Regions from separate parts of the Mus musculus genome. Here regions 2, 3 and 4 are each reported to be linked to region 1. The links are microRNA targets in miRTarBase. Many come from high-throughput screens and were not tested one by one. Region 1 holds a microRNA gene; each other region holds the end of a gene's coding sequence.

Region 1 (3,000 bases):
TGTGGGCAGGTCACACAGGGAACTGTGGCAAGAAGTTAGGAAGTATGAGAGGTGGGCTGTTGGACTGAGGACTCTTTGGTCTCTTGAGGACCCAAATAGCCTGAGAAGTGATCAGAAAGTCAGACTGCCTGTGCTGCACTGACTGCAGGAAGCACTTCCTGAGAGAGGAAGGCAGTATGCGGCACTTCTGAATTCCTTTAGATCCTAATGAATAAACTCAGCTCTGTCAATTTCTCCTACAATAAGAACATATCTTAGGAGACAAGAATGTTGTTGAAGAAGCCCAGAATTCCTTTAGGCTAATAGAAAGGACAGTCTCCAGTGGGAGGACCTAAGTGCACACTAATGAAGCTAATTTGGGGACCAGGGTTTAGGAGCAGCCAGAGTAATGGAGTGAGGAGGTGGGGCAAGGAATCATGGGGGTGGGCTTAGTTCTGCCACCTTATCAGGCCCCTTGACTGTCAAGCAGAAGTCCCAGGAAAAATGTGAATGGCCAGTTTTCTTTGTGATTTTTGTGTGGTGGTCAGAAGGCTAGGAGGCAGTTTGGCATGGCAGCCTGGTTGTTGGAGCGTAGTTTAAGTAGGGATGCCCTGGAGCACTGCATTTTTACAGTTTCATGATTAGCTGACATTCGGAAGGAATTGATTGTCCTAGTTCCCTTACGCTTAAACATTTAGGCTGATCCAACTAATTGCAAATTGAGGTTGGGATTTTTGTTTTTGTTTGTGTTGTTTGTTTCTTTTACAAGAGCATCTCGCTGTGTAGCCTATGCTGGCCTGAGCTCTCCAAATAGACAAGGCTAATCTCAGACTCATAGAGGGCTGCCTGTCTCTGCCTCTCAAGTGCTAGGATCAAAGGCATGTGTCACCACTTTAGGTCTCAAGTTCAGGGTATTTGAGAGTTTCCCTTGGTCTCTTGTCTTAACCTAAACCCTGTCAGATTCATGTGGGCTATAGGGACAATGTCCGGGGAGGACTTGGGACAGCTGGGTGGGCTGGAAGTAAATAGGTCTTAAACCTGAAGGTGATTGAAGTCTCCTAGGTGCCTCAGAGAATGTGGACAGTTAATAGCAGGTCAGAGGCAAGGCAGGAGGACAAGAAGAGGGTGGTGGATAGGGGACAGGCTGGTCTAGTACCTGACCCTTTGTTTTTTCTTTCTTTCTTCCTGCAGTCTCCAGCCAAAAATGGCTCCAAGCCTGTCCACAGCAACCAGCACCCCCAGTCCCCAGCTGTGCCGCCCACCTACCCCTCTGGCCCCCCACCTACCACTTCTGCCTTGAGCTCCACCCCTGGCAACAATGGGGCCTCTACCCCAGCAGCACCTACAAGTGCCCTGGGCCCTAAGGCCAGTCCAGCTCCCAGCCACAACTCGGGTACTCCTGCACCCTATGCCCAGGCTGTGGCCCCACCTAATGCCAGCGGGCCCAGCAATGCCCAGCCACGGCCCCCCAGTGCCCAGCCAAGCGGGGGAAGTGGTGGTGGCAGCGGAGGGAGCAGCAGCAATAGTAACAGTGGCACAGGCGGAGGGGCTGGCAAGCAGAACGGTGCCACAAGTAAGTGGAGACCAGTTTGGGGAACAGGGCAAGGTGGACAGTAGCTGACAGCCTGTTTACACTTGTCCTTCTTTCCCCAGGCTATAGTTCGGTTGTGGCAGACAGCCCTGCAGAGGTGACCCTGAGTAGCAGTGGGGGCAGCAGTGCCAGCAGCCAAGCCCTTGGGCCCACTTCGGGCCCTCACAACCCAGCTCCCAGCACCTCGTGAGTAGTGGGGTGGCAGTGTGTGGGCACAAGCTCTTATGCCACTTGTTTTAGGGTTCCAAGTTCTACCCTTCCTGGGTAGTACCTACCCAGTGTGTCCTTTCTTCACCTCAGCAAGTGTTCTTTTCCCTGCTTCTTACCAAGTGGGACATGTTTTACTCTCGGTTTCACACTACACTGTCTTCCCATTTCTGTTCTTTGCTCTGAGGCAGCTGACTCCCATGAGTGTGGGGGCTTTTCCCTTTTCCAAGTAAAATATCCTAGTCCTCCATTTCTTCAGCTTGACATCAGATTACTAATGAAAGATCTGCTGCCTTGTCAGCCTCGTTACCAGTCCTACTGGGATTGCACCATGTGCATCTGTGCAATCATTTACTCCAAAACTGTTTCAGTGACAATTCTAGAACTACCCTGTCCCCTGTCCTTTAACTTCATAAGCTGTTGGGGGGACCCTAAAATCCTGGTTGCACACCTCAGTACCTCTGCTGTACTGAAGAGGAGTCCAGAGGTTGGATTCACTTCTGCATGCTCCAGCTGTCTTGCTTTCAGCCCCCACCCCCCTTTTTGGATCCCATATTCTGTGCCTGTCTTCAAGGATCTTAATTTGATTCTCCTCCATTCTTTACCCAGAAAGGAATCCAGTACGGCAGCCCCATCAGGGGCTGGGAATGTGGCTTCAGGCTCAGGGAATAACTCGGGGGGACCCAGCCTCTTGGTGCCACTGCCTGTAAATCCCCCCAGTTCTCCAACGCCCAGCTTCAGTGAAGCCAAGGCAGCTGGTACCCTGCTTAATGGTCCTCCACAGTTCAGCACCACCCCAGAAATCAAGGTGAGTTTCTCGGGTGTGAGCCCTGAGCCTATCCTGCGACAGGAAATTCAATGAGTGCACTTTCCTAGAGGGGAAACATCTTAGAAGTTCTCCTGAGTGGGTGATAACGGCGTTAGCATGATTTTGACAGGAGGAGAAGCAAAGTGACACCTTGTGGAGAGACTCCTGGAAGGGTGGGGGAAGAGTAGCATGAAGGACTGAGCCTCATTGGCTGTGACTGGTGAAGAATGAGTCCCTCCAAGAGAGTTGGAGTGCAGGTCTGTGGGTGGGCTTCAGTGATGGAAGAGTTGTACAGAGTGGGTAGAAGAGCCAGCCCTGAGCTGCCTCACCAGGGAAAGCTGGGGGGGGGGGGGGGGGCTGCAGGCCCAACCCACTGATGTTCCCAAGGAGACTGAATGCCCAAGGGATGGTCGGC
Region 2 (8,308 bases), not on the chromosome of region 1:
AGATCCCATTACAGATGGCTGTGAGCTGGGGTTCATTCCCATGTGGTTGCTGGGAATTGAACTCAGGACCTCCAGAAGAGCAGTCAGTGCTCTTAACTGCTCCAGACCCCAAGGCCAAAATATTAATGCTTACCTTTAACCTTTTTCTTGTGGATAAAAGGAGGTAAGTAATTAAGAGTGCTATTTTTTTCCCTTTGTGCATTCTATGATATATGAAAGCATCTACTATATACACTTTAAATGAGAACGTGGGTTCACTTCATTTGCACGGCAAACCTTATTTCAGGAACAATTTTGTTTTATTCAAATCATGGCCTCCAAGGAAAAAGCATCCCAAATTAAGGCCATTTCAGCATGAGTATTAAAATGGGCCATCTCATTTTCATACTTAGCTGTCAAGTGTAAAGAAAAACACTGTCTTTGAAACGATTCCTGTTCTGGTTTGTTTATGGTATCACAATGTCTACTGGCTATAAACCTTGAAATCATGAGATTACTCACAGCCTGCAATTGAAACTTTATTTCACATCTATTGATAAATTACACAAAATCAGTGAACAGTTTGTAAAGCTACACCACTGAACAGATGTTTACAGTTTGAAATCGTGGGATTTACATGATGATGACAAAAATGTATATTTATAACATTCTCTATATACAATAATCAGTAGAGACAGAGAAAATGCACTTAATCTCTGCAAACCATGCACACCACAGCAATAACACTTTTTTTTTTCTGTAATGAGCTTTTCCACTGGCTCAGACTTCGTCCTGCTTTCCAACACTGTCAGTTTTAAGAACAATCATTTTCAATTAAAACTAAAATTACTGAAATACCATAGTGATCTACAGAAGTTTTCAAGAACACAATGTACACCAAATACTTTGACTTCAAGATGTGCTTTTAAAAATTCCTTCCAGTTTTTTTTTGTTTGTTTTTGTTTTTTCTTCATTTTTTTGTTTTTGTTTTTTGATTTTTTTTTAGGTATCATCATTCTCAACACTGCAAATACCACAAAACAAAAGCTGCAAATATTGTCACAGAGCTCAGAGTCAAGAAAATCTCTTTAGAGCCAGATACTCAACTTCTTGCCAAACTTGTGGCCATATTATTACAGATGAAACCAGGTCATGCACTTGGGCAGACTATGACAGATGTGACTTTATGATCATATTTCTAAGCATGTCCCTCTTGAAAGCATGAATACCACTTCTGGTCACCTTGTTTTGATTGAAAGCCAAGGGATTAATGTAAGCTCTTATAGAAGTGTAGCAACAACCATGAGGTGTAAACTGCCAAGCAGTATGATATTTCACAACACAGTGTGTATATAATTCTTCCTTTGTTCCATTTGTAATTGAAACCATCAAAATACTCTTCACAGATGCAGACTATCAAACTATTCTCCTCTACTTGCACGTCCCTGACACTTAGCTTCGCTGCAAAACATTCTTTATTTTTGATCTTTCACAAACAAAATCCTGGTAGAAGTGTTCCCCTCAATTATCAAGAGGCAGCTTTTGGTGTTATTGAGCAACTCTGGCTATCTTAATGATTAGTCTACTGTTGTCTTTGAGAAAATTTTTTGCTCTTATTATTGTGTACAAATCTGTCAATACAAGAAAAGAACCATGGGCCAGAAATAGCCAGCCAAACTGGAAACATTACAATAAACAAGATAATTAACAGTTCACATTCAGGTTTAGTTCAATCTGATGAAGAATAATAACTTCAGCAATATTAAGAGACAAATTATTCTGTTTGAGAGTTCTTCTTAAGGACCTTACTACACAGACATTGATAAGACAATTCTATAGAAAGTCCTGACTTTAGTCCAGGATTAAATAGCACAAGAGATTTAGCAACACGTTGTTTAGATGAAGAAGAAAAATTCTATACATGGATTCATTTGGAATGAGCACAACTCGGAGAAGCCTTAAAGTGAATGAGAAGCAGCGCCAAAAAGATCGAAATTGTTGGAATTACAGTGCCCAGAAACCATCTGGAAACTGGATCTTTCCATTGGTATTCCATTTGGAAAAAATGCTTTGTTAATATGAGATATACCCTGTTTAAAACCTTTTAATCAGCAGAAGGTAGAAAAATTCTAAATTTTAAACATCTGTTAAGTTACAAGACACGAATCCCGATCTATTTGAAAAGCCATTATTTTTACATAAACCCAGCTACATTTAAGTGAGAAATTGTTTATTTTCTACAGTTTGGCAAAATTTATCATCAGTTGTTTTTCTGTTTAAATAGGCTCCTTGTTAAAACAAGGAAATGAACAGTTTTGAGTGTCTTTTAGTTCTGTTCATGTTTTTACTTATACTTCCCTGCAGGGAGGGGGGGTGCTTTCAAGACTGAGTTTTAACAGAGTATCCGGAATCACTTAAAGTCTGTTTCTTAGCCATAAGTTTAAACGGCCACATTTCATGTTTTCTTTGTGTCTCCCATACCTAATTTAAGAACGTCTTAAAATATCTAAGCTGCAATTTCTGGTGAGTCTGGTTTGGCTCTTGGATTTCAGAAGTAGTTCATCCCAAAACAGACAATTTAATTACACACTGAGATTTGTTGTACCCACACACAGCATAACACTGAATCAAAAGGCAACTGTAAAGGCAACGTCTACACTTTTTTTTTTTGAACTTCCCAAATGAAGGAAGCAGGATGTGTTTGGACATTTTCATCTTGTAAGATACACGCCATCTTTTTGGTGATGCTTTGGGAAGCAGTGTGCACAAGCCTTTGAGTGCCAGTTAGCGCCATGTCTCTACGCTCCCTATGTAGTCATTGGTGCCATTGCTGGTGCCGCTATCACCTTGTCCCTGGCCTGAGCCCTGCTTCTGACTTCCCCGGTTCTCCCTCTGGGTCGAATTGGGATTTGAACTCGGAGTCAGATTGTGACTCAGGTTCTGAGTCAGGTTCTGATTTGGGTTAGGATTTGGATTCTGACTCAGATTCTGACCTGGACTCTGGCTCTGGCTCTGACCCTGACTCTGACTCTGGAAATGGGTCTGAAGGAACCTTCCCTTCAGAAATTTGCGTTGCTCCTGACGCTTCCGCCTGGCATCCTGATGTTCTTTCTGCCTCATGAACTGATACCTTTGCAGAAAGAGGTCTTTAGCATAGCTGTACAACTCCATATCCAGAAAATTCAGTCCCTCAATACGCTTTTGGATTTCCTCATTGATCTCAACACTAGAGGCCCTAGTGGTATTATACTGGGTAAACGGCGAGATAAAGTTCATGTTGAAGGTCTTCTCAAACAGGTACTGGGTCTTGCGCTGAAACTCAGTGAGGCCAAAGAACGCCATGTGCTTCAGATTGGATTTGGCACTTTCCAGAAGGACTTTGTTTCTTTGCTTTTCAGGCATGACAGAGAGGTTGTAGCATCCCACTAGAGTCAGGTCAGATAGCATGCGAACTTGGCGGTTGTTGGCCAGATTATAGGGACAGTCCATGAACTCTTTGAGAGGGCATCCAGACCAGTCATCACCGGTGTAGCAGCTGGGCAGCTCTTCAGAGGTTGGGGGCCTTCCATCACAGACGTGCAGGGATGCTTTCCAAGTTGCTCCTCTCTGGACATGCCTCCATTCACTCAAGTACCGTGACACTGGGTCTCTCAGGATGGTAATGTAATGGAAGTTCCTATGGATAAAGCATAAAGGACAATAGTCAGAAGTGCGCCTGACATAAGTGCAGTCAGGAAGGTGTATGGCATAGGTGATGTTCATGGTCACTAAGGAAAACAACAGAGGAATGACAGGTGGTGGCATCTGTTCTGTGAACTATGTTGTGGTGCCCTCTTTCTATCCAGCGAGTCTGACCAGATATCTAATTTCCTGACACCGTATCCACACCAGGCATGAAAAAGACTCTGGATAACAACCTTGTCATGTTTTGCCCTACTTTGTTCTCTTCCCAGTGATGTTATTGGTCCAGTATGCAACCCAATTTTATTTTATACTCTAAAACCCTAAATTTTTATTAAACCAATCACAAAATGGAGACTCAATTGAAGCAAATGACTTATGAGGGTGAAATGGAGTTGATAAAGGAGCTAAAATTCCAATGTTTCTTATGAACAATGTACAAACATTTCTCCAATAACATGGTCTAATCTGGTAATGTTAAGAAAAAAAAAGAAAGAAAAATCACATTAAAACTATTGACATGATACTCTCTATTCTAGTTATCGCCAGAATATCATGGCTCGTACGTTGGAAAAATGGGAGAGACAGGCAGAGCATCCCAGGGCCCCTAGAAATAAATACAGTGGTTAGTCAAGGATGAAAATAGGCATGCAGCTGCCAATGGCATATATGCAAGCATCTATTTTCCTTTCAGTCTTTGTTTACACCGTACCATCCCCAGGCTCCAAATTATCCCTTTTCTTCATTCACTGAAGAATAAGAATGGTGGAATCTTTGCTGGATGGTTGTATTTCTTTTCGAGTTACAAATAGATAAAGTTCTCTCCATAAACAGCAGTCTAGTAGATACTTGAACTTACTGGCTGACACACTCAAACACATACATAGCATACCTATACTTGTGGCCCACACCCCAGATGCATCAAGGTCTATGTGGTTGGGCATGATCAAAGAGAGAAATTCTCCCACAACTGTGCTTCTTGTGAGACAGGAATTACCATTCTCATGTAGATGAAGGATGAGGTCATTGCAGGAGTATATTTGTGGTAGGAAAGCAACAATAAATACTGAGAATTCATAGTTCTTAAAGGAAACTCAGAGAATGTCTGGCAACTTTTCTGATTTTGTCCTTTTTATCTGAAGGAATTGTGGCTGTCATTTGAGAAGGACCCAGAGAGGACCTTCTCAACTACCTGGCCTATCGAACAAGGCAAGGTTTCTCCTAACTCAGACTCATGGCCTTCTGGCATGTCTCTGTCATGTGATACCAGTAGTGCTTCATCTACCTGTTCTTTGAGAAGGACACAGAGAGGACTAGATGATATTCCTTTCAAGTCTAGTTCAAGTAGAAAGCCAAGGCTACTGGCATTCCTTCTTGCCCCGTGTTGCCATAGCACTTATATACTTAGACTTTTCATACGGAATTACAGTGTCTTATTTGTATTTCTACTTAAAGGGTTTTCTAGAATGCAAATTCTGCCTTGTGTTTCTATAACCGTGCCACACATTCCAACATTGCACTTTAGCCGATGCGTCTGATTCAAAAAGAATCTTTGCAGTCCTTTAAATGCTTATTTAAGGAACCATTTCAAATATGAGGGAGGACAGGGCTGGGGACATGCCTCATCCCAGAAAAACGGTTGATCATATTACAAATGCCTTATAAATATCACAGGAAGGTATTCTTTGTTTTTAAAAACCACTTTATACATTTTCATGGAATCAACAATCATCAAGCACAGAATCTGGGAGTAGGAACGAAGGATAGGCCAAAAGTATCTTCATTTATCTCTCTGAACCTATTCTACAACGTAACTGATGTTATCTCTGAAATGCCACCGACGCCACTAAGATGTATCTCTGAAAATACCCATTATTGTAGAGTAGCAGTTTCTGTTTCTCAGCATCCTTTAGGAATTCAGATAAGCACTATATCCATGGACTCTCTCCTCCCACTCTTACTTTTACTTTTCATTCATTCTTGTGTTCATTCAGAGGGTATTTATGGAGCCTTTATGCAAATCACAAGGCAAGATTTTAGTGGCAATTACCCTGATTGTTAGGGGGAAAAAGAAATTTATTTAATCCAGTGACACATTTGGATTAACCTTTTAACCAGTTTTGGCAGTCATACACTGTAATGGGGGCTTCTGGGCAGGGGTTAGGTAGGGGGTAGTTAACCCTCACAATGCAGTCCCCTTCATGACTAGTTGACAGCCCTCCCACCCTCGTCGTTCTGCTGGTTTAAATCTATGTTGACATCTTTTGGCAAATTTTAGAGTGCACTACGGGGCAAGTTTGTGGCTCTCCCTCCTCCAAGCTTATCCTTTCAGATCAGGTAGAGGACCACCAGGAGGAGTGTCTGGGTCATTATTTTAATAGCACTAACCACAAAGGAAAAGAGTTAAAAGGCAACAAAGAGGGACTGAGACAGTACTTTAAAAGTCCCTCAGATCACACACTTGTGGGAATTTCATAAGCTTCTGCATCAAATGTCTCCAGTATAAAATGAGGACATGGACAGAGAGAAGTCTTAATTTCCATACTGTAATATTACTGCTGACACACACACACACACACACACACACACACACACACACACACACACACACACACAGAGAGAGAGAGAGAGAGAGAGAGAGAGAGAGAGAGAGAGAGAGAGAGAGAGAGAGAGAGAGATCCAGGTACCTAATACTGGAGATTATGTTAAGATTATGTTAATAGCCCAGTCCTCAGGGGAAACCTTCTCAATGACCTAAGGGCTCAATTGGGAGCACCTAATGCAGCTGAGAATGTGCGGATGGAGTGTTCATTGGTCTTCGAAGTCACCTTGTGTGACAGAGGTTAGAAACCATGTAAACACACTCCATCAGGGTCCACGATGAAGGCTCAGCTGGTAAAGTGCTTGGTGTGCAAACATGAGGACCTGAGCTCAGATCTCCAGAATCCACATAAAAATCCAGGTGTAGCAGGATGTGCCTGTAATTCCACAACTGTAGAGGCAGAGGTGTGTGGAACTATTCACTGGACAGCCAGATGAGACCAGTCAGTGATATCCAGATTTACTGAGAGACCCTGTCTCAAAAGTCATAGACATTGACTTCTTGGCACTCATACACACATGTGCTTGAGTATCCACACGAACAAACATAAATTAATAATACCTTGGAGGTTTTGCCAGACTAAGGATGTAGGATGTTTAGTATTCTGACAAAAGAACTTGAAAGGAAATAGCCAATAAGTGATTTGGAGGAAGCCAATAAATCCAGACACATGGATAGATATTCCAGCAGTGTGTACTTGCTCCCTCTTGGTCCCTACTATGCTCGGCTGTGGAGAAAGAACCAAGGGAAGCAGAGAGAACCATGGAGGAGTCTGGGGAACCTAGGACAACATACAGGCTAGCAAATGGAAGCAAGAACAGAATGTGAGGATAGCACCCTGATGGCATCTTTAGGTTTGCCTAAAGGAAGAATGAGACAAAGGAAGAAGAGACAGAAGGGAAAGAACAATGAATGGCACAGAAGTGTAAAGCAGCCTGCTTCGTGGAAAAATAGTGGGCAGCAGAGGAGTCTGGCAGGAACTGGAGAGGGATTGGCGGTCAGGTTGAGACAGGATGTAGGTGCCATGGTATGGGATTCATACGCATCTGTCACAGAGACAAAAATCAATGGAGAGGGAGAGGGAGAGGGAGCTTACATGAAAGGTGCTTCTTAGGTTTCTGGAGGATAACTTTGAGGGTGGGAAGTAGACTTACACATTCAGACAAGCAACCTAGAATTAGGCATCTGACGGCAGCTTTATGGACCCAACGCTTCTCTTTATGCTCTGTGGTTGTTCCCTATTCTCTGTATTACTTTAAGGTCCTTACCACCCTGTTGTTTGCCTCTGATTAGATTCCAATTTATTTGAACATGGCCTCTGGGCATGATCTAACAAATGTCAAGAAAGCAACTTCCCTCATTGTGACAGCATTTCTGTTCTTGTGTCCTCAGATCAAATTGCAGTTAGCCTTTTGGAGGCCATGACAAACCACTGATAGAGCAAAAAGAATTTTTCTATTTTTCACATACGCACCACTTATGTCTGTCTGTCTGTATGTATGTATTTTTATTTGTTTGTTTACCTCTGTGTATCTGTACATGAATGCATGTACCTATGCCAGGTGCATGCCCATGGCACCTGTGTGGAATTCAGAGGACAGTTTTCAGGCGGAGGATACTTGGACCATGTGGGTCCTAGGGATCAAACTCATGCCATTAGACTTGGCAGTAAGTGCCTTTACCCACTGAACTATCTTTCTGGCCCCACAATAGAAGGTGGTCAGCCTTGTGACACTGCCTTGGTGAACTGCCTTGTGACACTCGAGGCATCATGGGTCTACAGGTGCACTGAATGATCAGACATTCATTAACCCAGGAAACTGATGAGGACTTCTGAAATCCAGTCCATCCTGGATGGATGTCGGTTGCTGATGACCTTGCTTAATTTCTTCCTTTTAAAGGAAACCCAATCCTCTCAAAAATGCATCTGGATTCTGATTACATCCCCCTGCTCTGCCAGTATACTTTTTTCTTGTTGGCAATGTCTGCATCCAGGCACTTATTAAAATAGAACAAGGTGTTGCAGGTCTGTGGTATTTGCTAGAA
Region 3 (8,308 bases), not on the chromosome of region 1:
TTTGAGAAGCCATGTAAACAAAATGCGGGCTATAAAAGATCAACACCGTGCAACTTAGGATTCAATATCAGCAAGGTACCCTTTGAAGGTAAAAGGGAAATAGAGCATTCGAAGCCAAAGCTAAAGGAGTTCACCACCAGCTACCCTGATCTGCAAGCTAAGTGAAAATGGAGTGCAGAAACTAGCCAGGCATGGCTGCACACCTTTAATCCCAGCACTCAGAAGGCAGAGGTAGGTGGATCTCTTGAGTTCAAAGTCCAGTCTGGTCTCCAGTTCCAGGACAGCAAGGGCTACACAGAGAAACCCTGTCTCAAAAAAAACCAAAGTCCAAACCAACCAAACAAAACATGAAACAAAAACCTTGTATCTTCATAAAGCACACCAGTACATAAAGATGAACACAGTCTTTGGATTCTTAATTTTCTACTTCTTAATTCTTTTTTTCTTTCTTTTTTTTCTTTTTAAAGATTACTTAATTTATGTTATGTAAGTACACTGTAGCTGTCTTCAGACAACCCAGAAGAGGGCATCAGATCTCATTATGAATGGTTGTGAGCCAAGATGTGGTTGCTGGGATTTGAACTCAGGACCTTTGGAAGAGCAGTCAGTGTTCTTCACCGCTGAACCATCTCTCCAGCCCTACTTCTTAATTCTTAATTGAGCTAAAAGATAACTGCTTGCTTAAGGGGATACTGGTAATGCTCTTGAGTGGTTGTGACCGTTGACTAAGTGAAACAACTCTCAGTGATGCTACCAAGGCATTCTGAGATTTGAAATAATCCTCCTGCCTCAACCTCAAGAGCAGATATCTGGGACTACAAGTACACATTATTATGCTGACAAAATATATATTTTTAAAGGAGGCATTAGCTGGTTTACTGAGATCAAATTTATTTGATGACAAGGGTCACATAAGTTCCTTCTAACCTGTACTCTGAAAGAGCTGACAATAAGCAGAATGCCAAGAGTTCTACTTTCTTTAAGTAAGGTCCCTGACCACAGGGAAAGATAAAGGTTCTTAAGTGATTTGCATAGCATACAAATCTGGAGTGAATTCAAAACCTTGTTGACTTTCTGTATAATGGGGGTGGGTGTCAACTTTCAGTAGCATAAATTCTTGTTTTATGTGGTTCTAAGCCAGCTTGTGAAACATCAAACTGATCAAGCCTGGTATGTGCTTCAGACACAAATAAAACACATGATTTGTAGCAAACTGGTGAAATTCCCTTGCGCCTCCTGTGACACAGGCCATTTTAACAGTCCTGAACTTACTCTGACTCCCATAGGCAGAGGTTTCTCCCACTGCAGAGGTTGCTCCCACATTCAGTATACCTTACAGCACTGCCTGGGACTCCTCTTACTACCTATGTGCCTCTGGTCTTAGTCACTGGCTGGTTTACTCATAAAATGGGGACAGTTGTGGTTAGATGAGGGTTACCAAGATAACACATGTAGCATGCTTAACTCACAAGTAAAATAACTGTAGCAGTTTTCTAGGGATTCAGCTCATCAAACAGGGCAGAAACTGCAGGTGGTTATCCTGTCTTTATCCTGTACTGTTGCCTTCAGGATACAACATTGCTCTTTGTGTTCCTTGGGATTTGCAGCAGGTAGATGCAAATTAAGCCTGTTTGAAGATGAGAAATAGCACGCGCTCTCTCTCATTTGTGTTCCTAGATTTTGTAGTCACATAGAATCATATATGTGTATAAAAATGAAACAACTGTCTAGGGGAACAAACGGCCTTAATAGAGGAAACAGGGGTGTACTGCTCAATAAACAGTATATACTTGTATAAACCACACAAGGTAATTTCCTGGCACATACAAGGCAAATAAACTCCTAAGTATGCATTTTTAACATAATCATTTTAAGTTTCAGCAGGCATAATGGCAGGCATACTCCTTTCTGTTATTTTGGAGGCTGGAGCAAAAGTGTCTTACATGCTTGAAGCCTCCATGAGATACAGTTAGTACAAGGTCAGCATGGGCAACTTCAGGCCCTATAACAAAACAAAAATTACAAGAGAGGCCAGGGAAGGAAGGAGTGGTGTGTACCTGTGACACCAGTGCTTGGAAATTGCGGGGAAGATGGATTAGGAGTTCAAGACCAACCTGGGTTACATGAAACCCTCGTCTTAGAAATGGTGGTGGGTAGGGCAGGGAACAGCTACTGGTGTATTATTTCCAAGGGCCTGGCTCAGGCTTCAACCAGAGCAGTTCTCAACCTGTGCAGGGACATCCTGTGTGTCAGATATTTACGATTCCTATCAGTCGCAAAATTACAATTATGAAGCAGCAACAAAATAATTTTCTGGTGGGGGGTCACCACAGCATGAGGAACTGCATTAAAGCGTTGCAGCATTAAGAACCACTCCTTTACCACAACAAAAACCCTGAGGGTGGGGTAAGAGCCCGTTTCTAACATGTGTTGGTAATTCATATCGATATCCATCCTGCTTCCTTTTCAGTACATAGCATCTGGCTAACACCAACCCCAGGGAGGTGAGGATGGGCCAGGTGGGGCATTTTGATAGGTTTGCTGGAAGACTTCATCACATAGGCCTGGGAGGCACAGTCTCCGAACTCCCCGCTGTCAGGCGCTACTGGCTCCACTCCTGCCTCTCCGGGGCTACCCTTTGACAGACAAGAAGCCACTTCTCTTAAGCCCTTCCTTGCTTTAAATCGAGGATTAGTACCATCTTTATCTGTGAAGAGTTTGCTGAGCCATGAACTGTCCACATGGCGCACTTCAGGTCCTTTCAGACCCTCCCCAGCCCTCCATTGGAAAGGCTACACTGTTTCCATTACAGAGAAAAAGTGAGCGATTTGGTTGAGAACTGGAGAATTCAGTTATTGGCAGAATTCAGTGGTAACAGCTTGGTTTTCACTTATCTGTGGCTCCTTTTACATACTGGAAAACAAAAACATGCAGGGGTGTTTTGATAATTAAAATACATTGTAAAAGTCCTGCATGGAGAGGTAGATGATTAATAAAGACTTGGGCCAAGCAAGCTCTAAAGAGATCCGGGGCTTGGTTTCCTACATTGATTTAACAGCTTCCTGACTTATGTGAAGATGAACACAATATAATAGCCACATACTTTCAGTATAAGTTTTTATTAAAAAGTGCATTTTGATTAATTTATGATTTAGGTAAGTTGTAAGATATCAGTATACTCTCTGGAATAATAACTTTACAAAGATTTAAAACAAACAAAAATTTAAAAGCCTTTTTATTTCCTTCACCATTATTGTTTTACAATACAAATATCACCTTGTGAGTACACACACACACACACACACACACACACACACACTCACTCATACATGAACACGCACACACACTTGTGCATGTGCACACACACAAAAAAACCTACAGAAGGTAATCCTGCTGCACATAAAATACAGAATGGATATTATATTTATATTTATATATATATACTTCTTCGCTCTTAGAAAACTATTTTGTTCTCCACGTTGGCAAGTATAGAGTAGAATACTTCCCCAAACATATGTATGTCAGGAGGAAAACTCAGAATTACATGCAGTTTCTGCACAAATATATTTTAAAGAAATAGATCTTTTTGTTGTTGTTCACCAACAAAACTGTCATGAGAGTATGGATAACTAGTTTATAGCTTTCAAGTTTTAGGTAAGTGATCATTTTCGAAACTCTCTTTAAAAAAAGATATTCATGGCTGTTTTTATTGAGTAGTTAAAACCAAACTACCAAACAGATGGCATAATCTCAGCGGCACCTGGCAGTGCGGCCTGCTCACAATATGTGAATGGGTGCGTACTCTAATTCACACCCTCTATTCTTCAGTTCAAAACAATTTTAAAACCACTAGCAGTCTTCTGATTTAATTTAGCTATAAATGTAAAATTTAGTAGTGTATACATACATTTATATTTTCATGGAATAAATAAAAACATTTAAGATTGCCTACCAACCGACCATACAATCAAGACAAGAAAGGCACTAGAAACATAGACAAATTTCTCTCCCAAGAAGCACTTTTAAATGTTAACTCTCTTTTCTGTGACATGTAAAAATCTTTAAATTTGGTTTTCATAACATCATTTTGAAAAATAAAGTTAGGAAATACTTAGAAAAATCACTTTATAACAGATTTTTTTTTTTGCACTTTTTGATACACCGTCTCTGCTGACTGTATAAAACCCCAGGCGAGCAAACCTCTCTGGACCTATCGTCTTCAGCCGAGCATCAGTGCAATAGGCAGAGAGATTCTAAATCAACTCCCATGCAGACACTTAGGACCCTTCATAGAGACATTTACTAGAAAATGGCTTACAGCCCTGTCTTTGGGGCAAGAGATATGAAAAGTATGTTTTCCCAAGAAAATAACACACTTTATTTCCAGATATGGCTGGAAAGGCCGGAGCTTAGGATACAGAAGCACACGGTGGTGCGGCTGAATGACACAGAGGGACACGGTGGCTGCCTGTTATAGAAGCCCCAAGCTTAACAACAGGAAATGTCTACAGTGCATGATGTGGGAACTTTTCTTTATTGTTGTCCAACGCGGGTCCTTTGGAGAGAAAAAAAAAGATCACAGTGCTGAGCAGGTAACGCAATAGGTTAAGTCAAGGTAACTTGAGAGATAGCAGGGGGAGGTGGTTACTTTATGGCATCTTCTGTCATGGAGTTCTTAGCACTTCGGACTGTTCTTCATTCCCTAGTCGGCAGAGCTGTTATGTGTCGTTTACCAGCCGGCTATATTTAACTTGCCTACTAAGGTGGACTACCGGCCAGGGGAAGGGCCAATGGTAAGATCGAGGTACAATTCCTTGGACATTCTTTTCAAAGTACTGAAATGGCCTGTACCACCACACCCTGGCCAGGAGGTTCATCTGGGAGGCTTCCTTAAGCACCTAGGAAAGCAAAGAACATACACATTTGTTTGTTTGTTTTTCAATCTTACTGTCTTCCCTTTAAAATATTTCCCATGTTAAAATTCAAAGGATCCCAGACTTGCTCCACACCCACCCACACAGCCGGGCTTCACTCTGAGTTCACCACACTATACCCTGGACACGTCAGATTCCAGGAGAGCAAGGGAAACTGAGACGCCCTCAATTTGTACCTACTAAATATCTCAGTCAGCCCTTTCTTCACTCTCCTTGGATCTTAACTTCCTGTGCTCCTATATAATAAATGTATATTTATAAATGTTATAATAATATAACATATATAAATATAATAGATAAAATATATTTAATACCTTAGTTAAACGTAACTATGAAACTAGTGATGGGCCCATCACAACCAAAGGTTAGGAATGCACCGTAAGTGCGGATACCATCTTGGAGATTATTTTTTTCACAGATAGTAAGCACATACGTTTCAGAAGAAAGTGGTATCTGTGTCAATTACATCAGCACTTTACACACTGGCTCCGCAGAGGAATGGTGCTATAAAAGCCAGCACCACCTCAGGTGGTTGTTCCGAAGAAAGAGAAACTGAAAAAGACTCACAGCTTCCCCGTCTTTCCAACACCTCTTACTCCGGCCTCAGCCAGCAGCACCAAGACTGAGACAGGAGAAGTTAAGATGACAGGGAAGGGGCGACTCACTTGCTGATTGGCCATCGTGTGATACCACCAGAAGAGTCTTGTGGTGATGTAGTAGGCCACCACCACGTCCACAGTGTAGTGGTCATGCGCTAAGAGAATACAGAAGATTCCAACGACGCTGAGGAGCCAGCAAATCCAGTGGTACCACCAGAGCCGCCGAGGAGAATCTAGAAGGAGGAAACATGTGCAATAGTCCCGGTCCTAAATACCACTCACCCAATACCACCAATACCACTCACCCACGCCTCCGCCATTCTGGAGGACCGACTATCTTACACCTTTCCTCCAGAAAGCCCATTTTTGTGGGCCAGCAAACTAAAGGACTTTTTGTTTCTCTATAACTTGGGATAGAAGGAAGTGGCTTTTAATGAAATATGACTAGCAGCAGTAATTTATCTAGGGCCATAACTTATTTCATATAAGCAAAAACGTAACATAAAAGGTGACTATGACCAAATATGCACAGGTCACTGCGTTGAGCTCCATCTTTAAAAGATGGTCCCCTGACACTGCGGTGTGTGTATGCATGTCTGCATGAGCATAGACACTGATGTGTGCAGCTGTGTGTATGCCTCACATGTAGGAGCCAGAGCTTGGTGACTGAGCTGCTCTCTCGATCACGCTATGTTATGTACTGAGGAAGGTCTCGACGTGAAACCGCAGCTCACTCACCGAGTCTGCTAGTCTAACTACTCAGCTTGCTGCCGGGACCCCTGTCACCTCCACACCAGCTCTGGAACTACAAGGATGCTGCCATGTCTACCTGGTATTTCTGTGGGTGCTAAGGAGCTAAACACACAGTCTTAGCTTGGTACCTCAGGCACTTTACGCCCTGAGCTCTGGCCCTAGGCTCTGTCCAATGGCCATTAATTAAGTGCAACCTATGGATACACTGAGGTTAGTGTCTTATGTAAATCTAACTCCTACTGTGCCACATATTCCTTTTCTAAATGTATGTTTTTGAGACTATAATTTAGTTTCTCCCTTCTCTTTGCTCCCTCCAAACCCTCCCTCTTATACATCTCTTCCCACTCTGTTTCAGAATTACGGCCTCTTTTCTCACTGATTGTTATTGGATGCATTCATGTGTCTGCATATAACTATACACTCCTAATTATAGCCTGCTGAGTCTATATACAACTTCTTGTATGGCCAATGGTTTGATGCTGGACAATCTGTTTGCTGTGCTCTTCCCTGGAGAGGGATGCCTCTTATGTTTCCATCTTTACTCAGTTGTCTGTAGTTCTTTGTGCAGAGTTGGAACCTCATGGTCTTTTCCCCATCTAGTTTGGCATGTTCCTTGGTCGTCCTTGTTTAGCTCATGTTTGTGCCACAAATGCTTAGGCAGGGACCATGCAGTTATAATCCCTACAGCTACCAGCCTGCTTCCCAGGTTCCATAACTACACACTCATCCGAAAGACGGTGAGATTTGTACTCCACATTCTCAATGCGTAGGGGTCTAGAGCGCGTGGGGTTTCAGACAAAGCTCTGAATGGATCTACTGCCCTGATTTTGGAGAAGAAGGTATTGCCAACTTTTACTGGATTCTCAAGAGATCCAACTGCCATTCATTCACTCGGGCTGGGCGCATCTACCTTTCCCTGGACAGGTCCTACTCAAGATGTCTGAATCAACAAAGGAAGTAAGCAAAGGCGTGCCTCTGTGGGGGGAACCCTTGCCAGAAGGCGAGACAGACAAAGAGTAAGACACTATAACTACAGAGTTGCATATTATATAAAGGTGAAAGTTGTTAAAAGCTGAGGGGATCAGAAGGAAGAGGAGGAAAGAGGTCCCCCCGCCCCTTTGGTTGTTTTTGCAATTTTAAATTGGGTGCTGGGGGCAGAAACTGGCCACTCATATTCATACCTTAACAATACACCAAGAACAGCTACTACACATTTTCTGTGAACCTCACTGCGTATCCATGCACACCACTTATTTTACTTTTTATAGCCTCTTCCTCACTCATGAAATAAAGACTCATTTTAAAGATGAGGAAACAAAGACATATAGAGATTAAACATTTTCCCCACAGTCAGAATTCGGGGAGGGGCCGATAGTTCCAGGATCCCAAATCAGGGTTTTGTGACTCCTGCAAGGTCTCCGCACTGTCCAGTAACATGAAAAACAATTTCAGGTGTGAACCAGTAGGGGGCGAGCACCCTTATTCCCAAGGGCCCTATAGCAACTGACTCCTAAAGTTTCCACTTCCTATGGCTGGTTATGTTGTGGTATAAAGGTCAGATGCCCTGTGGATAGACATTTCTAGAATTCACTGCAGTCGATCACACAGTAAATAAACAGGACATCTCTTCTCCCTCTCTCTCAGGCCCCTGCAGAACATCTCACTTCATAACGGTTCCTTCTGGTTCACGACAGGGTTGGGCAGCCTGCGTCCTCCTGTCTCCTCCGTATTGCCTGTCCTGTGTGTGGTCACCAAGCTCTTCCATGGCCTGCACTTTACCCCAAGGGTGACGGACAGGTCAGGCCACACCTCCTCTGCATACCTGCATCAGAAGCTGAGGACTGTCTCTTGGTCTCTAGCCTGTTCTCTCTAGAACTTCTTGAAAGCTACTTCTCTGAAGGAAAACTCAGCTGACACTGTCCCCTTGTTCCCAACCACTCTAAGTGTCCCCATCTGCCGCAGACAGAAGCCAAGCCTCTGCTTTGTGGCTCGGGCTCTTTCTGACCTGGGCGCTGCTTCCTG
Region 4 (8,308 bases), not on the chromosome of region 1:
GGTCTGCCTGGCTGGCCTGGAACTCCCTATGTAGTGCAGACTAATGCCAAACTTCCCCAGCACTGCGTGCCTCTAGAGTGCTGAGATTAAAGACTGCCACCGTACCCAACCTTACCACATTTTCTCCGTGCTTTTTTTTTTTGTTGATGGCCATCTACACTAATAGTGTATTTACTGCTGTGGATAGTACCACAATAGAAATGGGTGTGCAGATAGCTCTGCTATTGCCTGCCTTAGGTGCCTTTAATGGAATTCTGCTTTTTGGGTTTTTTTGAGGAACCAGTAATTTCTATAGTGACTATTATAATTTACATTTTTACTCTAATATGTATGAAGCTTCCTTTTTTTTCCCCCCACATCTTTACCAGCGTTTGTTACTTTTGGCTTTCTTGATAGATGGTAGCCATTTCCATTGATGTTGGATAGAATCTTGGTACTATTTTTGTGTGTCCCTGATGACATGTGGAATGTTGATATTTTTTTTCATACATTTATTATCCATTTGTATTTTTTTGATAATTTCCTGTTCGGATGAAAAATAAATTTTCTATCTATTGGTTAGGTAGTTGGTTGGTTCTTAGTATTCAGCTTTTTGATAATGCTTTTAAAGTTGTAAGAATATTGAAATAGAAGTATGTGTGTATCCCAGACTAGCATCAAACTTGTGATCTTCCTGCCTCAGTCTCCCAAGTACTAGGATTACAGGTATGTGCCATCCATGCCTGGTCTCCAGCAAAGGATACTATATAAACAAAACAAAACAGAAATACCTTGAACTTCAGGAATTACACAGATGTTTGAGAAGTTCTTTATATTTTTTCACAGAATTACTTTTATGTAATTTTTCAAAGAGTATATGACTCAAAAGTGATAGATAATGATACCAAACAAGTCAGAATCACAAGCAAGAGCATTGTGTCTTTCCGCAGGCAAATCTGTCGTGCAATGGTCTGCTGGGATCCATGAGTCCTAGGAAGGGGTGTTGATGCTGACACCTGCTGTAGGCTACTTGGAAGGATCTGAAGCTGCTGCTTCTTTTCCTTCAGTAAAAATACCCTTCTGTCCCATTCTAATTGTAAATGCTGCTTTGGTTATAAATCTTTCTAATTACAGCCTTGTTGCATTAGGACAGAACCCAGGAAGTAGAAGGAAGGTATTGACCTCAGGTCTCACTTTGACAGAATTAGACAAGGGTCTGTAAGGCAGAGTGCTGTGTGGCTGATACACTCAAGGCAGGGGCTGGTTTCTGACAACAGCTGCCCTTTAACCAGCTGGGACAATTAGAGCAGAGAGCTTAGCTTTCTATCAACATCTATCTGTGGTCGAAGATCAGTGAATTAATTGCTAACACCTATGAGTCTGAAGCTGACACTCAGATCCTCTGCCATTGCTATCATTGCAAGAACCCAGCTTGATGCACCTAACAGATAGAAGCTTTGACTTAAGGACTCATGCCTGAGAGTCACTTTTCCTCTTCTTTTTCAGAACTGATATACAAGGAGGTAATGGATTTGGAGGAACGAACTAAGAATGGAGTCATAAGAGGGCAGCCGTCTCCTTTAGGTTGGTTACAATATAAACCTGGTTGTGATTGTGCCTTGCATCTTGTGTTATAATCTTCAGAGGCCTGGAATCTGCAGTTCTTCCCATGCTCACTCAGTTTGGTAGTTAAATTTGAAAGCCATGACACACTATTGTCTTGATGCATTTGCTGATTTAAAGCCAGTTTTCATTGACACCACAGCCATGTCTTTAAATAAGAAAAAATCCCTTAGAGTTCCTTATTCTTTGCTTTGAAAAGTCTTCAGTTGGAATAGATAAAAACTTCACCACAAAATTTGCTAAATTTGCTATGTGTGCCATCACGTTCTGACGTTCTTTTTAGTACGTTAGTCACACTTGAATACAAGCTTCTGAGGACCTCTTGTCTCTCAGTGTTCTGCTCATCACTGTACAGAAGGGGGACAAGTGCGTCAGCAGAGTCCTGCCTGCTCGGCTTTAGCATCTTGGGGCCCTGAGCACTACACACTGTTTTTGTTCTGTATATGTATTTTTGAGAACTTAAGTTCTTGTACTTCTATTTAGTGAGCTTATGGCTTGAAAGTTGCTCCATCTTGTTGAGATGCTTTAACATGTTCTTCCCTCTGAATGAGGCTTCCCCCTTAAAAGGATTTCTGTCTCTCCATAGGTTTTCCTGGTTTTTGAGCTTTTTCATTTTTTAAATGCATGAAATGCTTGTTCGATACTGCTTTTTCACAGAGAAAAGCATTTTCTCTCTGTTTAGTAAGTTTGTATTTGTTTTTGCCTGGTATTTACCTGGGTCAAAGTATGCCTGAGTTTACCTACTAGGCTGTTTTGGTTACCTGGTAAGTGACACACTCTCTTGTAGACTGGCCACTTGGTTCAGGTCCCTCCTGATCAGATGCTGGTCTTTTTTTTTTTGGTTTTTCGAAACAGGGTTTCTCTGTGTAGCCCTGGCTGTCTTGGAACTCACTTTGTAGACCAGGCTGACCTCGAACTCCACCTGCCTCTGCCTCCCAAGTGCTGGGACTAAAGGTGTGTGCCACCACTGCCCGGCTTTTTTTTTTTTTTTTTTTTTTTAAGATGCTGTTCTTTTGTGTTGGCTTCTACTTTGTAAGATGGACCCAGGAGTATCACTTGAACACTGTGGTTTTTGTGAGACTATCAAAAGTAATTTTCTATACTATTTTAGTTCTCAGGCTGTTTTTAGTTACTTGGATCTTAGAGATCTTCTCTCCAACAAAATGAAGTGTAAGCAGTTTTGTATGTACTCTCAACTCTTTTGGAACACACCCTGAGGCCCATTTATGGATCTTGCTGTAGGGCCATTCTCCATGTTACTTGGATTTTAACTTCTTGTCTTAAACTAAAAATGCATTATGGAAAGGAAAACAAGTATAGGTTTCTAGACATTTTCACAATTCTCCCTTCGTAGTTTGTGTGCATAAGAGAACATTAGTGCTGGGTTCAATACGATTCAGCAACCCGTAAGCCCAGGAGAAGTCTATAGACCCTGAAGGTAGGTAGCACAGGCCAGGCAGCCCGGTCTGCAACTCTCTCTGCAACTGGTTTGCTGTTTTGTTTCTCATAGCACAGGTGCAGCAATGATCAATGGCTCTCAGCATCCATCGTCTTCGCCGTCTGTCAATGACATGTCTTCAATGTCCACAGATCCGACTTTGGCCTCGGATACAGACAGCAGTCTAGAAGCATCAGCTGGACCTCTGGGCTGCTGTAGATGACTACTTGGGCCTTGGGTGGGTGGGAGGGATGGGGAATTGGTTAGTCATTGATAGAACTGCTTTAAAAACAATTCAGTGGTCATATTTTTGAGTGATTTTTCAGAAAATGTAGAATTCATTTTGTAGTAAAGTAGTTTATTTTTTTTAATTTCAAGTGTTGTAATTTAAAACTTAAGTTGTGTTTTTAAACAGCAACAAAACTGTATTGTATTTTTGCTGTAATTAACTGTATAATGTAAACCTAATTATTTTATCATGGTTTAAATTTTGCATATTTGCTTTATCTTATGCTGCTGATTTTTTTACTGAATTTGTAAAATTTTTGTTTATCAAAGCAACTATTATGTGGTGACTTGCATATATCATGAATTATTTAAGATGTTTATAAGTTTTTTATTAGAATTTATTTCAGATGTTTGTTCATGATGCTATCCTTCAGGGTTATGTGCTTATCAATGAAATAACCCCAGAGGAATAAGGGAAAATAACCTGTAGCCAGTTATATTCAGGAATAACTACTGTAAATGATGAACGCATCAAGAAACCTCCAATATTTGCTACTTGCCAATCCCAACTTAGTTAAAACAATTGGTAGGCAACCTTACCTAAATTTTAGCAAACACCTTATCTAATGGCAGAATAACTCAGAGCATGTCTTTAAAGATGCTGGGCACATCCTTCTCCATTTTGAATCTCCTACACCAACCCAAGAAAAACTTAAACTAAGGAATGTGGTATATTCTGATCATCTGTGGCATGCTTAAAGCTTTTGATCACACAAAGTTAAGAGGACACTTCATGAATCTACATTTCCGTGGAGATCAACAGATGCTTCCCCTGTCCTGGCTACGAGCCTGCTTCTGTAGACACTGAGTTAATCTCCTCAGGCTGTAGGTCCTGGCATTGGCCACGAGCCTGGACTTTCCCTGTTGGACAGCTTCTGGCCTCTGGCCTTTCCCAGTTCCTGTTCCTTAGCGGGTCAGTCTGTTGAGCACCAGTTTGTGGTGTTTCTGGCCATTTGATTCTACCTGTAGCATTATCCTGTTTCTACTAGCTGTCAGGAGGTTCCAAAGCCTACTTAAACTTGTGTAGGTGACATTTAAATGAGCAATATGCCGTTCATCTGAAAATAGTAGCACACAGCCATATGTAGGATGTCATTTTCTAAGGACTGTTTCTTCACAGTGAGCAGAGCAGGCATAGTGGTGGTTCTTTCATCTGAGTCTTTGGTTTTTTATATCTGATTTCCAGTATGGACGTTGAGTAGTGTAAGAATGGTGCTGCTCCTGACAAGTGTGTGTTAACTGTTTACATTTTATATCTGCAGAATCCTTTCTCTGTAACTGAATTTTCCTAAGTAAAATGTCATCAAGGTCTCATTATTTCTGAAATGATGTCTATAATGCCCAGGCACCTTTGGTATTATCTGGAACAAGAGGGATTTCATGTAATGAACTGGGAAATGCATACTTCATGAGCTGCAAGGTTGTAGGAAGGAGCCCGGAGCCCCTTGGAGCTCACAATCAGCAGGAGTAAGAGCGGGCACAGCTTGGCAGATTTCTGAAAGGTTGCTTAGCAGGTTCTTTTGTTTTGGTTTTTGGATTTTTCTTCTTTTGGTTGCTTTTTAAAAACATTTAGTGTACAATTACTTTCAAGTAAGCTATTTTAAGTCTTGTTAATGTGCAATACTTAAGATTAAGATATTACCTTTTTAAACATAGCAAGTTTATCAAGATTTCTAGCGTCCCATCTTTTAGTGATTCCTTTTCTATATGTACAACATGGTGCATTTATTTTATTAGACAAGTATGAATTTGAGACTGTTACGCCTCTTGGTTCTAGAAATACAAGGTTGAAGTCAGGATTTTAGCAGAAATTGGAGCATGAGTGTGTTCTTATTTTATATTAGTTTTGCATCTAACTGGTTTTGGTTTTGCCGTGATAAAATGTGTCACTATTGCACTTACCAGCTGATATGCTGTAGTTAGTTTTCTGTGTTTGTGTTTGATTGCTGAGAAGCCATCTTCTTCATTCAGATTTCGGGTAAGTAAGGAATACTAGTTGTTTGATTGTCTCATCTGTTGTAATTGCCAGCTCCCACTTGCCAGCAATCATGTTTCAGTTAAATTTAAAAAAAAAAAAAACAACAAGCTCTCAATGCTTAATGTAAGCTGAAATACCTAACAGAGTATACCTAAAAGCAAGGTCTGTTTGTTAAACATGTGCCCAACACATTAAGATCCACTGTACACACACACACACACACACAAAACACACCACTGTGTTTAAATCTTTTAACATAAATCCTACTGGTACTTTTAGAGTCTTAAAGCATCTTAAGTATTTTTTTAAGAAATTACAAATAACATTTCTGTCTATCAGTACTTATTAAGCCACCCTATAATTTGACTTTTCAATTATATATACTTATGATACCCATTGTCTTACTGTCTAAAAGTTGTTTAGCTGAGAATTAGCATTCCACTTCATGGTTTAGGAAAGAGAGCCTTATTCTTCCTACATGTCTTCCTGGTTACAGGTCTCGTACCCACTAATACATAGTGACCATCTGTAAGATGAGCATGTTGTTGGGATTGCTTTGTTATAGAGCATCTCACTCTTTAATGCTATTTGCTAGTGGTTTTTACTGTGTCATGCCATGCTGCTGATTGCCAAATCTCAGAAGAGTGCACACCAGAAGCAAAGGCCCAGTGTGTTCACACCTGGCTAGTAAGAGAAGCAGTAGTCCCCACCAATACAGAGAAGCTGGTTGTGTACAAAGCTTGCCTGTCAGCCTTATCCCTCAGTTCTGAGCTCATCTCACTTTGTTACCCTAAGACGTGGAGGTAGAAAAGACACTTGACAGGATAGGATGAGCAGTAGGCAAGGGAAGCTGTTTCCTGAGTTACAAAAAGAACTTGGTTTACATTATTGGCCAGTTTCTGCCGCACACATGAAGACATCATCAGTGTTGCCTCAGCGCTAGCCTGCACGGCATTTTGAGATTGAAAAAAAAAACCAACAACATAGTATATTTTCAGAAATACTGTTGTAGTTTGTGAGTGTTGTTCATTAGTCACTCATTAGTGTAGAGTGGATGCATGATGCCCCATGACCCCAGTAAGTCTTACCAGTGAGTAGAATACCCAGCACCGTCTCTCACCCGTAGCCCTCTTCAGCATTGCCTCGTGGCTTGTTGCATTCTAGTGTGCATATTCTAGTGTGCATTGTGTTTCTACTGATCTCTTGGGTGTTTCCTGTGAACCACAGGAGGCACATTTGTCCTAATCGCACGAAAGAAAGATGAAAGAGATAAGGGCATTGAAGCAGAAATGTGTGGTTTGGGGTAAGATAGGAAAATTGTGTCCTAATTAATTTCAAAGTAACTGCTCTTAGGCAAATTGCTTTTAAGGGGAGTCTAGTAAGCAACTTTCTGGGCACTTCTGGTTTAGATTCTCTTCATTACTGAAACTCCTGAGAAATATTACCTGTGGATTAGTTTTGCACAATGTCCTATTCTCACAATGACTTAAAATTAAACTAGGTTTTTATTGAACTACCTCACACTGATTTTCTATGCTTTCCCAAGTAAGCTGTAGCCCTTACTGTTTGACCTTTACTGAGTGTAAATTATAAATGTGCGTTGAATACTTTCTAGCCACTGTTCACAAAATACCAGTAAGCATGTGAAGTGCAAACCTTGCGTCAGTAAGAGACAGTCCCGTGTAGTCTTCCACTGTGTCTGGGGAATTGTGCTGCATACGCTTATTGACATCCTCACTGTTTTTGTAAGAAACCTGCTCGAGATACCAGTCCATGCTTTACATTTTACAGAAGGAGAAAATCTTAGTAAATTTTACGAAGAAATACATTACTTTTGTAGGCCCAATATTTGGTATATTTTTGAGAAGCTGTTAATCTTATAGCGGAATGATGAAGTTACACTGAAGTAGCTGTCTGCCTGGACTGTGATGTCTGTTTTCTCATTACGGTTTACCCTGTTAATAAGGTTTTAAACCTCAAAACATAGGATGATAATTAGATTTTTTCCTCTTTCCCTGTACATGTCATTCCTTCATCCCGCCCCTTCCGTGTGCTCTCCTCTCTTCTCCTCTAGACAAAACAAATGGGCACTTTGTAGGGAATGCTGGGATCGTTACCGTGGGTTATCGTTCATGCCCTAGTCATTCAACATGCACCACTGGGTGTAAACAGTGTTATCTAGTGTGTCAATTGGTTATAATATTTTAAATAAAAAAGAAAAAGTGGTATGAAAGTAAGAGTTCTTCATTGAAAGCAAAACAAAATTGTGTTTTTTCCTGGTGGTTTTAGGGTTTCCTGTGGACTGAGGTAAGGTTGTTAGTAGGGCAGGTGTCTTAGGTTTGGATTTTATACACATTGTCATCCCGGTTTTAACTGCTGGTGTATGGCTTGATCTAGGCTTACTGTTCTTATGTTTCAAATCACTAGAGGAACTTTAAGAAAGAAACTTTGCTTCAGTGCCCTTTGACCTAGTAACTGCATGAGACAGCAGCCATCATGGCCAATTGGCAAAAATCAGTATCAGACCCGAATCTGTCAAAAAAAAGAAGCAGGTTTGAACATGGAGCCAGTTGTATCTGCTCTGTCCACAGGTTCTCATCACTGCTAATGGGTGAGCTGCATGAAGGTGTGCAGGGTCCCTCTAAGTGCTAACCCAGCCCATGGGATGGCGTTCTTCCATCTTGCCTGGCTTCTGTCCACACAGCCTTTGTACCCATGCCATCCTCCCCTGCCTCTGCATACACTAACACTGAAGCCATGTCCCTGCTGCCTTGGCAAGCCATGAGATTGCTGAGCTGGTGCCTGCTGTCCTGCTACTGTCATAGGTAGCGAGATAGAGTAGCAGAGCTTGAACCAGAAGGTTAACCTCAACCTGATGTTGAATTGAGTGATCAAGGTTCCCACTCAGTCATAAAGTGGAGTTCCTTGTGTGGCTAATACAGGTGTTGCATTTTTTTAAAGTTTTTGTTGTTGTTGTTGTTGTTGTTGTTGTTTTCTCAAAA

Evidence for each region. Region 1 holds the annotated microRNA mmu-miR-3572-3p (UACACUUGUCCUUCUUUCCCCAG, at 1,610-1,632, shown strand). A microRNA usually pairs through its seed, bases 2 to 8, with sites in the 3' UTR of a target mRNA and lowers its output. Matches are read on the target gene's strand: a 7mer-m8 pairs with bases 2 to 8, a 7mer-A1 pairs with bases 2 to 7 and ends in A, and an 8mer does both.
Region 2: the mRNA of Hs6st2 is a reported target of mmu-miR-3572-3p. Seed matches in the 3' UTR shown: 7mer-A1 at 2,634-2,640 and 7mer-A1 at 231-237.
Region 3: miRTarBase lists Sgms1 as a target of mmu-miR-3572-3p. Seed matches in the 3' UTR shown: 7mer-m8 at 3,344-3,350.
Region 4: miRTarBase lists Mapk8 as a target of mmu-miR-3572-3p. Seed matches in the 3' UTR shown: 7mer-m8 at 3,415-3,421 and 7mer-m8 at 4,554-4,560.

Annotation. Positions count from the first base shown.
Region 1 is chr7:3,654,401-3,657,400 of GRCm38, forward strand. Mir3572 (microRNA 3572) reads left to right here and starts at 1,562; the gene lies at 1,562-1,647. Cnot3 (CCR4-NOT transcription complex, subunit 3) reads left to right here. Exons shown (of 18, transcript NM_146176.3): 11 at 1,171-1,552; 12 at 1,633-1,756; 13 at 2,387-2,585.
Region 2 is chrX:51,386,707-51,395,014 of GRCm38, forward strand. It overlaps Hs6st2 (heparan sulfate 6-O-sulfotransferase 2), which reads right to left. Exons shown (of 5, transcript NM_001077202.2): 5 at 1-3,655. The coding sequence ends at 2,764. Among named protein-coding and RNA genes, the nearest start is that of Mbnl3, 180 kb to the left of the region's middle.
Region 3 is chr19:32,119,627-32,127,934 of GRCm38, forward strand. It overlaps Sgms1 (sphingomyelin synthase 1), which reads right to left. Exons shown (of 10, transcript NM_144792.5): 9 at 5,600-5,766; 10 at 3,101-4,898. The coding sequence ends at 4,719. Among named protein-coding and RNA genes, the nearest start is that of Asah2, 21 kb to the left of the region's middle.
Region 4 is chr14:33,377,129-33,385,436 of GRCm38, reverse strand. It overlaps Mapk8 (mitogen-activated protein kinase 8), which reads left to right. Exons shown (of 12, transcript NM_001310454.1): 11 at 1,486-1,563; 12 at 3,118-7,539. The coding sequence ends at 3,263. Among named protein-coding and RNA genes, the nearest start is that of Mapk8, 66 kb to the left of the region's middle.